2 linked regions of the Caenorhabditis elegans genome follow. The protein of the gene in region 1 interacts with the protein of each later gene in a pairwise test. Each region holds a gene or a part of one and is shown in the gene's direction. Other genes may lie near its edges. The genes, in order: F59A6.2 and rpb-11.

Region 1 (3,283 bases):
AACCTAAACATTTTTAACAAGAGAAAAAACAACGAGCTTTCAAAATTCATTTATTGAGCAAGGTCGAAGAGGGCTCTATGGGTTGTACTCAATTGGAAGGTTCTTGCGACGAACCATACCGTCTCCTTGGAACCATTCACGGCGGAATTGCTTTGCAGCTCCATCCGGGGTGTTGGTCCACTCAACAGTAATACGGTCGTTGTTAGTGTCCTACTGTCCAAAGGCGAAGGCATCACAGGAAACAGCAAGAAGGACTGCTTCCTTTGGGTCCAAAACTCCACATGGTGGATCAACTCCAAGTCTCTTCATATTGGTGGTCTTGATACCGTATCCAATACGGCGAGCCGAGGAGTTGATCACCTTGATGTGGTAGGTGTGCTTGTCATCGTATGGTGCATTGAAGACGATCTTCGTACCCGGCTGGGTCTGGATATCTCCTGGTGGGACGGATTGGGCACTGGCGACTTCTTTGTAGAGTGTGGAAACTTACAGTGAAGATTATGGTAAACTCTGCTCAATTTATAGCAAATTTCTCTCTTATCTTTGTCCCAGATCTTTACAATAGCCACGTCACATAAAGTTCAGAAAGTTAATAAATTAATTTAATGATTTTTAAAATCCGTGAAAGAGTTAAATTTTAGGAATGATTTTGAAAATATATTTTTAATCTATTGCCGCACAGGTCTTTGGCTTCAGCATAACTATGCATGAAAAAACATGAAAAACCCATCTTACTCTGTTCGGCCCTATCAAAAATCTCTAAAAAATGTTTCACTAGATATTTTTCAAATTTTTTGAATATTCCGACAAGAAAGCATCTCATTTCATATCTTCAATTTGACGGAAGTTTAGTTATAAGTTCCAAAGTAGTTTTAAAGTTCAAGGCAAAAATTTAATCGGATATTAATATGACCTTTTTCCTGTTTGTAAACGTTTGTTTTTCAAACATCTCCTTTTTTCAGGAACTGATCTTTGGGTTGATAACACATTTTGAATTTTCAAAATCCAAATCCTTACCATGATATTCAACGAAATTCTCAGCAAAAAAATAACCAAAAATAAAAACTCAATTTTTGATTCAATTTAACTTTTGAAGATTTCAGGTGATTTTATTTTCAGGGTCTTATATATTTCCCCAACATCTTCCACCTGCTAAGTTGGCTAACCAATTTCCTTTTTTTCAGTAAAAAATGTTGATGCCCACGCCTTTTTCCTCATTTCTCAATTCATCGTGAAAGCGGTCCCAAGAGATATTGGAGCGTGTATTCTCAGACAAAATTAAGTTTTGTTCCAGACGAGGCGGCACAAACTCCATTTTCATCACACGTTTTTCTGTCTCACAAATATTGCAGTTCGTTGTGTATTCTCAAATTTATTCAAAAATCAAACCACAAATATTTGATTCAATTATTTTCATACCCTTTGAAAGTTGTACAATTTATTTCGCAATTTTTTGTATATCTAATTGAATAATCTTTGGACCTTCTTGATTTTTTTCCAGCTATTTAATTCAATGCAGAACACTATTTGATTCTTTTTTCTCAAAGACGCAAAAAATGCCTGATTGTCTTGAAGGCTGCTTACGCCTCCTTCGTGCCTACTGCCAAATCATAAGCAAGCTGAACTTTCAGTAAATTAATTGAACTTTTTGAAAACCTTGAATCTACAGTGTGCCATTACCAAACCATTACCAAACACCGGGACTCGTCGAGCTAAAATGCAAAAAAATAGGTAGGCACGCAGGCAGGCAAGCATTTTTTTTAAGGGTTTTAATCTTAAAACGGTTTTCGTACAAATTTTACTTTTATTTTTCATTTACAATTTTAAATTTTTTATTTTTTCGTAACCCTTTTCACGGACGGAATTTCCCCCTCTCCCCTTCTTCAACCAAAAAAATGTCAGTTTAAAAATTTCGTAGAATAATTTATTCTGAATTTTTCGATTATCGAAAACGATCAAGTATGGCAGAAGGAGGAACTCCAGTGGTGGCAACAAAACCACCAGTCGATAATGCAAAGATGTTGGGCGAGCTGAAGCTGAGACTGATGCACACGAAGAAGGGACTCCTCGCTATTCGAGGAGAGCTACAGAGAAGAGCTGAAATATGGGGAGCTGCTCAAGAGGAGATCACTGCACTGGAGAAAATGGTATGTTTATTTTGAAATTTAATAGATACTTTTGTAGTTTGCTGCTCTAACACCTGAAACGCCTTGACTCCTCATGGGTTATCTTATGAACGCACCTGAATTAAGAGCGCCCAAATCCCTTGAACTCTTAAATGCTGAAATCTAATCAATAATTTAATTAATTTCAGGCGAGCGATGCAAAGGAGAGGATCCAGAAGCAGTCGGACCAAAAGAGAGAGGAGAGAAAGTTGGCGGCTCAAAAACGAAAGGAATTGAAACAGAAGCAAAAGGAAGAGAAAAAAGAAGAGTCAAAGGATGAGAAGGATGGAGCTGATGATGAAAAGAACGATGAGAATTAGCGAAACTCTTGCAAATTGAAATTTCGGAATAAACGTTTTGTAAAAGCCCTTGTTTTTGTAATTGTTGGAAGTTGATGGCGAATTTGTTCTAATGCCTAGAAATTTTATAGACCTATGTTGACCGGCGAACAGTTGAAATTTTTCAACGTCTAGATAAGCGGCCATATTGCTTGTAGTTTTTGAGATCCCTGGGCGCTGGAGAGGCGACGCTATCAGAACAAAGTTTATTCCCGAATTCTTAAAAGTTATTTATTTTGTGACAGTGACTTCTACGAAATTTCCGCTCACTATAAAAAAATATATCACTAGTTTGAAAATAAAATTTATTTTTTACTGAAAAACTCGAGAACTGAACTTTCAAAAACTGGTTGAAACTTGTCGTTTGCTGAAAAAATTTAGCAGCAGGTCTTTTTAAGTTTAAACTTTTTTATCGTATCGGAGAGCATTGTAGATTTTTCGAAAAAATTTTTCTAATCGTCTATCCACAAAACATCAAACTACATCCTGGCAAAATTGAAAAAAACCAGCTAACGATGTTTGAGGTAGACTACATTGTGATCCATGATCTAAAAATAAATAGGCTTCATTCATTTTTCATGAAACTTGTTAAAAATAGACTTTGACCATTAAATAAACGAGTTTCATAACTAAAAATGACTAAAAATGCTTCTCCTGATTACGAAATGTTTTTATAATATTTTTATCAGGCAAAATTCAAACTAAAACTAAACATTTTTGTATTCTAATCACTTTTTGCGGTACTCATTTTGTGTTCTTCTAAATAGAGTTACTTTATTT
Region 2 (3,249 bases), 9.0 Mb from region 1:
AATACCCGGACCGTATCCCTCTACAAACCACAAACCAATACCCTTTCAAAAGACGAAAAGTCAATTTTTCTATAACTACAGTAATCCTACAGTACTCCTGTAGTACCTCTACAATACAGTACCCCTACGGTACCATTACAGTACCCCTATAGTTTCTCTACAATACTGCTACAGTACTCTGACCGTATCCCCCTACCAACCCTAAACCGATATCCCTTCAAAAAACAAAGACTCGTTTTTTCCAAAACTACAGTAATCCTACAGTACTCCTACAGTACCACTACGTACTCCCATAGTAATCCTACAATGCCCTACGGTACCGAACTGTACCACTACTGTACCCTAGCACTAACTTCCACTTACCCGAACCCAATTTCCCTTCAAAAATGAAAAACAGGATCTACAAAAATACAGTAATCCTACAGTACTTCTACGGTACCATTACAGTACTCCAATAGTACCTCTACAGTACTACTACAGTACCTTGACCGTATCCCTCTACCAACCCCAAACCAATGTCCCTTAAAAAAACAAAAACTCATTTTTTCCAATACTACAGTAATCCTACAGTACTCCTATAGTAATTTTTTCACCAAAAAAACTATAAATTTTGAAGGAAACCAGTACGAGAAATGGTCACCAAACTGGTTAGTCAAAGTATTTTAAGGCTGAGGAATGGGTTATATCAATCGTGTGCGTGTGTGTGTGTGTGTGTCAACTTAATCGAGAGTAGTAGCTGATTCTATATTTAGTTACTATGTGTACTTGGCCGGTACTATTTTTAGAGTACTAAGGGGGGAGTCGCGGTTTTTTTGCTTTTGTTCAAATGGTTTGTTTGTGTTTTGCGTCTGAATTGCCTACCGTTTAGACTAGCAGGTAGGCTCAGAAAATGACTGCCTGCCTACGCGCCTGCCTACGCGCCTGCCTGCCCACGCGCCTGCCTACCAAACTAGTTCAACTCCTCAAATTTTTATGGTAAAAAACGCAACGATTCTAGCAAAAACACACCAAAACTCGGGGAACCAATCAGCGACGCCTACTGCCTACCTCTGATCGCGCGGGAATTCAAATTTTTGAATGTAGCCTTTGAACTTTTTTCGCCCAAAATACCGACTTTCAACTTCCGGGTAAGCTCTCTATAAATGAAACTGTCTAAACCTACAATTTTATTGACAAGTGCGCACTATTTTTAGGGCTCGGCGAGCCACCACCTGGTCAGACTAAATATTTTTCATTTGGTTTGTTGATTTTTGTCGGGGTTCTCCTCGTTTTTTGTCCCCCATTCAAATGATACTTTAAAGAAACATTTGAAGACGCTTTTTTATGAGGGGACAGCTGCAACTGCAGTTGTGCGGCCGAGCGCGATTGCTACCTCATGTTGAAAAAAACTGCAAACTTCTAAAAAACTCTTTTTTCTTTTTTTAAACTAGTCTTATAATGGCCATATTTTCTCTGTGAATGTTAAATTTTTTGGCCAAATTTGCAAGCGCGCTCTATTGTACTTTAGAAATTCTGAGCTTGAAATACAATTAATATATAATTAACCAGCCGTGGACCGCACCTCCGGCGCGGCCCCCGACTTCTGGGGCTGAAAATTAATTTTTTATGAAACTACCGTAACCCTACAGTATTCCTACCGTACCACTATTGTACCACTACAGTAGCTCGACTATATCCCTACACTAACCCTAACTCACTATCCCTCCAGAAGCCAAAACTTCACAAACAAATAGATAAAGTATATATTGCACGAAAACGTATACAAACATTGAAAATCGGGGGAAAAATTTGTGAAGGAGACAGAGAACGCTCCGACTATTGCTTCTTGCTTCTCAGATTTAATGACATTGCTTTTTTGATTTCGCGGAAATAGCAAATAGTCCATTTTGTGCGGAGTTTGGTGCAATCATCGGGAATTCACATTTGAATCACCGCGCAAAACGAGAATTGCGTCAAGGGCACCGAGAATGCGCTAGCAGTCATCCTTGCGCTATCTTTGATTTTCGAAGTTTGAATTATTTTAATTTTAAAACTATTTTTTAATTTTTCTTTGGATTTCATATTCAATTTTCTAAATTTTCAGCAAAAATGAATGCGCCAGCTGCTTTCGAATCATTTTTGCTTCTCGACGACAAGAAATTCTACATTGAAAAAGACACAAAGGTGAGAAAAATGATACTCAAAACGAAATGATAAAATTAATTTTCCTAGGTTCCAAATGCGGCGATCTTCACAATCATGAAGGAGGATCACACGCTGGGAAATATGCTGAAAATGTTAGAAAACCCGCATAATTTCGAAGATTTTCGATTTAATTCCTCAAATTTCCAGCCAACTTCTCAAGGACCCAGAGGTGCTGTTCGCCGGCTACAAGAACCCTCACCCGTTGGAGCACAAGATCTTGCTCCGAATCCAGACAACCAACAATACGACGCCAGCTGATGCTCTCACAACGGCCATAACCGATTTGGTGGGAGAACTCTCGTTGCTCGAGCATCGAATCGACGCGGCCATCAAAAAGTGCACTCAATCCGGCGACCAGGAGCGTGGATATAACTGATTTTTCACTTTTTCCTTACTGATCTCTTACTCTGAACTTTTATAAATTTTAAATTACGCTTTTTTCGCTTTTTTCTGCGTTTTTTTTCTCGAATTTTCTGGGTTTTTGCCCATTTTTTATTTTTTGAAACACTAAAATTCCCCCAAAAGCGCCCCCATTTCCCTCAATTTCCCTCAGATGACCGCGCCACTAATCCGTGTGAGCCGGAAGCGAACCGCAGATCCCCACGATGCTCTGATTCTGCACACCAAACGTGCAAAACACGGCGGCAATCCGCTGGTTTTCACGCTTTACAAGGCCGCCGGCAACGATCTGGAGCTCAATGGAGCCCGTGTGCTGGATCTTCCAACTCAGGAACATGGGATGGAGTTGGCTGACGAGGAAAATCCACTAGGATTTGTGAAGGATGAAGCCGTCGGGCTCGTTGGAGAGGTCGAGAAGAACGTTAAAAAGCCGGCGGAGCAAGTTTCGGTGAGCGCTGAGCTCACGGAGCCCGTGGAGCGCGCAAAAATTGTATTTCCAGCTCAACGGCCGCCTACTACAGCCCGTCACCGACGGCGGCGGCGCCGCCGCCGGCAGCAGTGACGACGTCGTATACGACTACTACGCGATACACGAGAAACGGGGCAACCCAGAAGTAGTGGGAAACCTGGAGCAGGACATCGAGGGAGCCGATTTTCGGTTCGCCA

The links.
Region 2: the proteins of F59A6.2 (region 1) and rpb-11 interact in a two-hybrid assay, tested with the Caenorhabditis elegans proteins (one large-scale study listed by BioGRID).

Annotation. Positions count from the first base shown.
Region 1 is NC_003280.10:5,012,799-5,016,081, forward strand, and holds F59A6.2 (50S ribosomal protein L29), read left to right. Parts: upstream 1-1,900; 5' UTR 1,901-1,961; coding exon 1,962-2,147; intron 2,148-2,314; coding exon 2,315-2,485; 3' UTR 2,486-2,530; downstream 2,531-3,283.
Region 2 is NC_003280.10:14,058,002-14,061,250, forward strand, and holds rpb-11 (putative DNA-directed RNA polymerase II subunit RPB11), read left to right. Parts: upstream 1-2,083; 5' UTR 2,084-2,088; coding exon 2,089-2,163; intron 2,164-2,211; coding exon 2,212-2,276; intron 2,277-2,331; coding exon 2,332-2,560; 3' UTR 2,561-2,623; downstream 2,624-3,249. Other genes in the region: W01G7.4 (putative RNA polymerase II nuclear localization protein SLC7A6OS), read left to right, coding at 2,738-3,031, 3,084-3,249. UniProt on the Caenorhabditis elegans protein: DNA-dependent RNA polymerase catalyzes the transcription of DNA into RNA using the four ribonucleoside triphosphates as substrates. Component of RNA polymerase II which synthesizes mRNA precursors and many functional non-coding RNAs.